2 linked regions of the Coturnix japonica genome follow. The protein of the gene in region 1 interacts with the protein of each later gene in a biochemical or structural test. Links are inferred from orthologs where the notes say so. Each region holds a gene or a part of one and is shown in the gene's direction. Other genes may lie near its edges.

Region 1 (4,351 bases):
ATTAAGGCAATTCCAAGGTCTGCAAGTTGAGTTAAAGCAAAGCTTTGGAGAATAAAATGCTTTTAAAATTAGACTTGAAATAAGTAGAGTTGGTGTGATGGAAAAAGAAGAAGGGCAGCGAGGTGGCCAGCTAGTTACCACATAACTCTGCTCAGCAGCTGCCCTGGGCTGCCAACAGTGCAGCAGAGCTCAGTGAGAAGAAGTTTGGTTGGGTGTCTGAGATCTGTGGCAATTTTAGGCCACTCCTGAATAATCCATTCACAGCAGGTAAGAATGGAGCACAGGCTCTGTGCTTTCAGAAGGTTCCTGCAAGCCTTTGCCATGCCCTTTCCACATGAGCTATCCTGCTCCTCTGTACAGCATCACAGCTCTTTGCAGAGCTCCTTCGCTCCTCTGCTGGGATTCATCTCGTGAAGCCTATCAATTCCTCCTGCTCCCAGTATCTCTTTAAACTGTAGCAGTGTTCTATGATTCAGAAACGTCTTCCAAATGGTGCTGAAGTTCTGCAGAAACCATTCCAGGAGTCATTACTGTTTCAAATTAACCAATAAATTTCCTATTTTTAGTCATCCTTGAGACATGCAGTAATACTGAATAAACGGGTCAAGATCTTCCTTTCAGTACTTGAGGGGAGCTTATAAGCAGAAAGGGGATGAAATTTTACTTGGGCTGATAGTGATAGGACAAGGGGAATAGCTGTAAACTACAAGAGGGAAGATTTAGGTTAGATGTTAGAAGGAAATTCTTTACTCAGAGGGCAGTGAGGCGCTGCTACAGCTGCCCAGAGAAGCCGTGGGTGCCCCATCGCTGAGGTTCTCAAGGCCAGGCTGGATGGGGCTGTGGGCAGCCTGAGCTGGGAGGGGGCAGAGAACAGAGCGCAAACACCGGCATCCCACTGCACCTCTCAGAGTGAAGTCCCAGCTGTTAACGTGCATGGCAGACATGGGTCAGCGTCCTCCCAGGAAAAATACAGCACATTTAGCGTGCGGGACTGTCAAATATTTGCATAGTTTTGAAGTGAACCAGTTTAGAAAATCTCTTTTTCTTCAACCCAAAGATGTCCAAGTTTCCACGATCGCTCCCGGGACAGTGCGTGGACCATTGTCAGAGGAGGGGGGGGCTCTACCAACGCAGCACTGCTCGTTTTCCATCTCCTCACCCCTTCACGTCCCCCCATCCCCAGGGGCTCTGCCACACGCGGCCACCGCCGCCCCCCGCATCCCAGCGGCGAGGACCCGCTGCCAGGGGACGGCTCGAGCAGGGCAGGGTGGCCCCGGTTGTTGTGGCTGCGGCTGCTGTCGCTGTCACCGTCGCCGCAGCTTCCCATGCAGCCGGGGCCGCCCGCTCTCCCGCAGGTCTCCGAGGCCGGGTCTCTTTCCCCTCCCACCGCGGGCCGCTCCCGGGCGCGCTGCGCGATGCCGGGCCGTTCCGCCGCTTGTCATCAGCCCCGGCCCGAGGCGGGGAGCAGCTCCTGGCCGGCCGCCAGCCGCCTCCCTTCCCCTGGCCGGCCGCTCCGCCGAACGGGATCCTCCTGCCTCCGCTGCTCAGAGTTAGAGCGCAGAGCAACCTGCGGCAGCGCCGGGACAGCATGTCTGGCACCAAATACGTGGACTCGGAGGTAGGACGAACCGGGGGATGCACTCGGGCTGCTGCCGGCGCTCCGCGGCGCGGCGGGACGGGACGGGACGGGACAGGACGGGGAGCGGGGTTGCGGAAAACGGGACGGGACGGGATGGGACGAGACGTGACAGGACGGGATGAACGGCGGGCAGGGGATTGGGGGCTGCCCCGGGGCTGCAGGGCGAGGCCACGCGGTGAGGGTCACAAACCGAAGGCGGGACACGCGGGGCGCAGCGCGGGGGTTTCCCTCTGCACCGGCTCCGGCTCCGGCGCCGGGGCAGAGCAGCCTCCCGGGGCGGGCTGTTTGTCGGGCGGGTGGCAGCGCTCCGTGCCCGACCCGGGTGGCGCGTGGGGGGCGCGGCGGGGACGCCTGGCGGCGGCCGTGGGAGCGAACGTAGCGTCGGGCGCGGGGTGTGGTGAGAGCCCCGCCGCACCGTTAAATAGCCCGGGCTGCCGACCGCCGCTTCGCACCGCGCTCCCCGCGGGACCGGGGCCGCCCCCAGCCCGCCCTGCCTCCTTCCCTCCTTCCCTCCCTCCATCCCTCCCCGCCGGCTCTGCCCCCCGGCCGCTCTCCCTCCCGCAGGGCTTTCTGTACGCGGCGCCCGTCAGGGAACAGGGCAACATCTACAAGCCCAATAACAAGATGATGGCAGACGAGCTGAGCGAGAAGGCGGTGCACGACGTGCACACCAAGGAGATCGACCTGGTCAACCGAGACCCCAAGCATCTCAACGACGACGTGGTGAAGGTGAGTGGCCGGGCCGGGACGGGACGACCGCTTTCCTCCACCTGCTGCGGGAGGGAGGGAGCAGCTCACGATTTCTTTTCGGCGTTGAAAAGAGAGGGGAGGCTCTGAGCCCGGCTGCCCCGAGCCGTGTGCCCAAGGCTGCGGACCTCGTGCGGGCGGCTCCAGCCGGGCTGAGCAGCGGGATGGGTCGCCCTCGGCCAAGCGGCTGCAGAGGTGGTTTGGGTTCGTTTGCTTGGTTTGGTTTGTGTTCGTTTCCGTGCAGTTTTTCCCTCTGTCGGGAAGTGAGTAAAGGAAGCCAGGCAAAACCGGACGGGGTCCCTTTCTAGAGTCTTTCTTCTGGTGTTTAACTCACTTGGACAGTTTTGACACATGTGGAGTGACGGACACTTTTGCTTGTACTCGCTTTGGTCAGAAAAATCACGAGGCTGAGTTTTCTTTTAGCGGGAGAATTTTATGCTGTTTGTGTGAAAACAGGGACACTGCCACCTGAGCTTACCAGGATCCAGCAAAGCCAAGGGCTGCCCAGTCAGCTGCAGTGAGTGAGAAAGGCACTGGAGTGCTTAGTGCCAGGCATGGGCTCCCTGAGCAATGGGGCTGTAGAGCAGGAAGACCTGGCCTTAAAAAAAGATGAATGTTATATTGTTTCTGGGGGGGGTAAAATGATTGGAAAGCAGTTCCTAAATGTATGTCAGGGGTATGATTTGTGCCATGTGCGGACAATGCAGAAAGGTCTTGAGTAACCTCAAATCCCACTGACTTCTAAGGAGCTTAGAGGTGCTGAGTATGACTGGCCACGTTGCTGGATCAAGAATTGGAATTTGGGCTGTCTATTTTGTTAAGAGGGCCATTGTCCAAGATCTAGAAAGAAAAGGGATGAAGTTTCCATTTGCTTAGGGGGAAAATAATCAACTGTACCACTTCCTAGTGGTACAGAACTTCCATTAAAGTGCTTGCTGTTAGGAAGGAGGGAACAATCCTTTTATCTGCTACCCAGCAGCTGGGTAGCAGGAATGTAGGAGCTGGAGAACAAGGCTTCCTAGTGGCTCATTGCGTACATCAACAGAAGGAGTCCCCAAAGCAACCAAACCTTCCAAGGATGAGTCACAGCCCCTAGGCAGGCCGGAATTTGAGTGTCCAGACTTAGCCTGGGGATAAAGATCCTGCTGGGACAAGATGCAGGCTGCTGGTGGAAAAAACTCCTAATGGACAAAAAAGAAGTGGCATGCAGAGCCTGTCCTGCTTTCTCTGCCTCTTTTAGGAACAATGATTAAGAAAGTTAGCTCGGTAGATTCAATAATCCAAAAGACTTTTAAAGAATAAGAACTTAGGAATGGAAAAATCAAGCTTTTCAGTATGTCCCTCCAAGATAACTGTGGACCATCAAATGTGTTCATCAAGAACCAGCAAGCAGCCAGAATAGCGGTACCATGTCTTGTATCCATGAGTTCCTGGTAGTGCACAGAAGCATATCAAGACACAGTGATGTGCCAGAATAAATGTTAACCACACAGTATCCATTTTGCATCCTAAAAGCAGCGGCATTTTTTGTTCTGTTTTTTTTTTTTTTTTTTTCAAAGCGGACATTTCAAAGCAACATTTTCCCATCTTCTCACAAGGATGAATAAGAATCACTTTGATTTGTTGTAAGCATTTTGTAGGTAGACCCAACCCTACCAATACAGAAAGGAATTTTGCTACACTTTGAGTTTGAACACTTCTTTCAGGTTCAGCTTAGAAGTAGCTGCAAAGTTTAGATCCAGTTCCTAGGGGGCAGACTCTCACTGAGGAGAAGGCAAAGATTCAGTTCCTGCCTCAGCCACTAGTCTATGACCTCTTCCATTATGTTATCTAGAAAGTGTAAAAAATGTACCTGAGTAACAGGCGTCTTGGCGTACTGGAAGACAGAAGAAATCATTCTTTTTTTTTTTTTAAGGCCTGAAGCATGCCCCAGATGTAACTCAGTTTTGTGTAGGGCCATTGCCT
Region 2 (4,358 bases), on another chromosome or scaffold:
GAAGTAAAAATAATGGTGATTTTTTTTTTCATGGACATTTTATATGTTAAACGCATAACAAACTTGTTAGTTAATGCAAAGACCCTCCACCTGGTGCTGAATACTGCCACAGCAAAAGAAAAGTTTATTTATAAGAAAAAATCTCATTCAATAATGTGATCAGATCTTGGTTACGAGCAGTCCCAAAACAACACATGAGGGTGAAGGACACCCTTTGGAAAAACAACCATTCCCCATCCCCTTATTTTCCATCATCCTGCTTCAACCCGCAGGGACAGGCTCCCAGCAGCCACACTGCTCTCCAGATGTGTGGCTGAGGCAAAGCAGTGCTTTGCATGGACACCTACACATATCTCCGTGTGTGTGAGCATAAAATCAGATGTGCCTTTTGCTATTGCAGAAGAATCACGCAATGACAGACCTTTGTGCGCTGCTCTCTCAAACATCTTGGATGACCTATTACTGGTGTGCACAAATCATTCAGCCTGTTTCTTCAGAGTCAAAAATAAGATTTTGTTTAAGTCGGACTAAATCCCTTCTCAAGGCAACAATTTGCAATGTAAACACCATCACCTCAAAACTCAAGCTGCATTGTTATGGACCCAATTATGGCTTTCAGCTCACGGAGTGTGCAGGCGGCGGGGGAAGCAGCAGCGGGCCCAGCACCGTGCAGCCCTTACACAACTCCACAACGTTCGTCCTTGCTGTTTCGTAACCTTCCATGCGCAACAACGAGTAAAAATAGAGGTAACGTGTGCGGGTTAGAAATCTGTGACAAGAAGCATCCCGTCTGCGCGCTGCTGGGAGGAAATGAGCTAAGATTTGTTTACAGTGTGGCCGTGCTCTGCAGCAGGGGCATTGTAAGGCAAAGGAAAGGGAAAAAAAAAACAAACCACCAGCATTGCTCGTTTTGAGGTAAGATTCCTAATAACGGGAATGGCAAAGGTGCAAAAACTAAGCGAAGTACGCCCGAACACCCGCCTCATCACGCAGCATCCATCTGCAGCACCACGTCCAGTGACAGGCGCTGCTTCGCGTGAGGAAACGCGCTTCACCAAAAGAAACTGCCCAGATGACCTCATTGAAAGCGAACGAAGCGAACGAAATTGAACTCTCCAAGGCCGGGTCAGCGGGGGGTCAGCGGCGTCCGGCGGGGGGAGCCCGGAGCACACGGTGTCCTGGCCGCCCGCTCCGCTCGCTCACGGCTCAGGGGCACCTCGCAGCAGCCCCGCACCGCTCCGCACCGCCCCGAGCCCGGCGCTCTCCCCCAGCGCCCCCTCGCGTCCCGCACAGAAGCGCGGCGCGCAGCAGGTGGGAGCGGGGGCCGGGCCGGGGCGGGGCAAGGCGTGCGAAATCCCCCACGCGTTGCGTTAGTTTCCGGGCCGGGGGGGGAGAGGGGTGAGTCACGGCGGGATGTATAAATGAGGTTGAGTACCTGCCTGCTGTAGGATTTCTGCCATTTCCAGCGTCCTTGGGATTTCTGTAGCTGCGAGGAAAGAGTAGAGAGGCTCGCCGGGATATGCTTCTACCCTGTGCATTGCTGGCCGCTCTCCTGGCTGCCGGCCACGCAGGTGAGTGGGGGGCGCGATGGGGGCGGGGGACTTCGGCTTTGGCTCTGCGTCCCGGCGGCGCGGAGAGCTCCCAGACAGAAGACAGCGGGCCGGGCCCGCCGCGATGCTCACAGCAGGAGCGCAGGTCTTCCGCTTTACGCACCGTATAGCTCCGAAGGCAGTGCAGCAGGAGGGGCTGTCGGACCCCCACTGTGTGTGGAGCTGGTTCGTTGCAGCCCGCACGGTGCACTTTCCAACTTGTGTCACTGGTGTTGCCCAGAGCTGCCCGGAGCCTCGTGCGTGTGGAACTCGTTCTGCTGCCCGCCCTGTGAGCACTGATGCACCTAAGATGCAACGCAGTACAGGGGCAGTGCTGACCCAGTAGAGAAGGTGCTCTTTTAACTGTTTGATTTTATTCCAGCCAACCCTTGCTGCTCCCTCCCGTGTCAGAACAGAGGTGTGTGCATGACAACAGGATTTGATCGGTATGAATGTGACTGCACAAGGACTGGCTATTATGGGGAAAACTGTACGACACGTAAGTACCTCTGATCTCTCTGCATGGAAATGGAGTCTGAGAACTCAATTACAGAATTGCAGGTTATAATGAATAGTGACTTCAAATCTTTCTGTCTTTGCTCACAGCGGAATTCTTCACGTGGCTGAAACTAACACTGAAACCTACGCCAAATACTGTCCACTACATTCTCACTCACTTCAAAGGAGTCTGGAACATCATCAACAATATTTCCTTCTTACGAGATACTATTATGAGATACGTGTTGACGTGTAAGTATACTTTCATGCTTGCAGTACTTCTAACTGACAGGAGCTACGTGTAGGACTTTAAATTCCCTATTTGATTAGTTTACTGATAAAACAGCAAGCTAAAATATGTTATGGGAAAAGCACTCCAAAGGGAACTTAGGATCTAAGGGTATTTATGCTTGGTATGAAATAAGCATTCAGACAAATGCATTTTTTTCCTTATCTTAAATACTGACTCAAATTTTGCTAATGCAACCTGCCCCATTTGTTATAAATTTGGTAGCTGGATCCATCTGGTAACTGGGACTTATTTGTATTATTTAGTAGCCATAAGTTACTGAAGTTAAATGGGATTATGCGTGTGGAGTTTGTGGATGCAATGGCTGCCAGAAGTACAGGGAAACCATCTAGTACTTCTTGATGGACTTCTTGTACTTCTTAGTCTCCATATATTAATATATGCCAAATACACACACACACACATATATATATTTATATTTTTTTTTTTCTTCCAGCAAGATCACACTTGATTGACAGCCCACCAACATACAATAGTGACTATAATTACAAATCCTGGGAAGCTTATTCCAATCTTTCCTATTACACAAGAAGCCTTCCACCAATAGGACATGACTGTCCAACACCGATGGGTGTTAAAGGTAAGGAATAAAACAGATACCTTGTGTTCATTTCCAGGGTTTTCATTTATCTTTTTGTCCTAGAAAACACCAACAGATCTCGTCTACATCTTAATGCACTGTTGGCTTTGAGAATAGCAACAAATGAGATAGATTGTGTAATGAGCTAAAAGATAACCATTCTGGTACTCATTATTGAACTGTGTTCTAAAACCAGGAATTAGAAAGCTTCTAATAAATTCAAAAATGTAAGCATGGGAAAACTGTGACTATAACAAACAAAAAGAAGATAGTTCCCCTTGTTAGTAAGCTGCTATTCTTTGTTAGAGATTTGAAAATGGGAAACGTATTTGGTTGTGAGGAGCAAAAATAAGTACTAAGCATAATTGCCATGAATATCTTGCTATAAGAAAACTCTTCTTCTAGGTAAGAAAGAGCTCCCAGATTCAAAGCTGATTGTGGAGAAATTCTTGCTGCGAAGAAAATTTATTCCTGACCCACAAGGCACAAACGTGATGTTCGCTTTCTTTGCCCAGCATTTCACCCACCAGTTCTTCAAGACAGACCATAAGAAAGGACCTGGCTTCACTAAAGCTTATGGCCATGGGGTAAGATCATAGCTTTGGAACTTGAACGCAGTGCTAAAGCTCTTAGGAGCTACCAAGCACTTAGAATGATATTTTACAGGTAGTCAGGATGTGCAGACACTCGTGGATATGCTGTGCAACACAGCAAGAAATTTTTGACCTTATGTGGCTGCTCTTTGGGCAAAAATCCAGCAACATGTTAGCACCTCTTAGGTCAGAAATGTCTGTACCAAGAACATAATTCTGCTTAAGATCTCTGTAGAGTGAGGACTGTGATTTCTTCAAAGAATCTGCTTCTTACCTAAAGCGTGCTAGATGCAATGGGTATTTAGAACTATTCTGGACTCCTTCCGCAACTGATGGAGATGCTTTGTACAGTATTTTGTTTTGTGCTGCTAATTAGGCAGTTTTAGAAGAACTTGAAAAGCAAATTTAGATTTTAAGATATTTATCTGCAAAAAGACAGTTTTGGGGTAAAGAAATTGTCCATATAAATATAACGTGCATGTCTAAAACAGATCTGTAACATCTCTGTATATATAAAGAGCTGTCTGCTTAATAAAATGCCATTGACACTCTAAACAGAGTCCTCCTAAATTGCCAGTCTGATTTAAAAACTTAATGCAGAGATTGCTGCAGTTGCCAGGAAATAATTTGGCTTCATCTTAAATATCAGTGTGTGATACTTATAAGGTAACAGTACTGTAATCACAAGGTAAACATCTGTGGATGCCAGATCATCTGTTAGAAATAGGACCTGTCCTAAAATAGGAAAAAATGTATCTTGTCTTCATGTTCTCAATATTATTTTACAG

What was found. The genes of interacting proteins can lie anywhere in the genome.
Region 2: the proteins of CAV1 (region 1) and PTGS2 form a complex in vitro, tested with the Homo sapiens proteins (2 studies listed by BioGRID). The link is inferred for Coturnix japonica from reciprocal best matches to the Homo sapiens genes CAV1 and PTGS2.

What each region holds. Positions count from the first base shown.
Region 1 is NC_029516.1:22,500,435-22,504,785, reverse strand, and holds the start of CAV1 (caveolin-1), read left to right. Parts: upstream 1-1,438; 5' UTR 1,439-1,588; coding exon 1,589-1,618; intron 1,619-2,203; coding exon 2,204-2,368; intron 2,369-4,351. UniProt on the Homo sapiens protein: May act as a scaffolding protein within caveolar membranes. Forms a stable heterooligomeric complex with CAV2 that targets to lipid rafts and drives caveolae formation. Mediates the recruitment of CAVIN proteins (CAVIN1/2/3/4) to the caveolae.
Region 2 is NC_029523.1:8,952,513-8,956,870, forward strand, and holds the start of PTGS2 (prostaglandin G/H synthase 2), read left to right. Parts: upstream 1-1,399; 5' UTR 1,400-1,519; coding exon 1,520-1,571; intron 1,572-1,971; coding exon 1,972-2,088; intron 2,089-2,195; coding exon 2,196-2,339; intron 2,340-2,833; coding exon 2,834-2,977; intron 2,978-3,382; coding exon 3,383-3,564; intron 3,565-4,358. UniProt on the Homo sapiens protein: Dual cyclooxygenase and peroxidase in the biosynthesis pathway of prostanoids, a class of C20 oxylipins mainly derived from arachidonate ((5Z,8Z,11Z,14Z)-eicosatetraenoate, AA, C20:4(n-6)), with a particular role in the inflammatory response.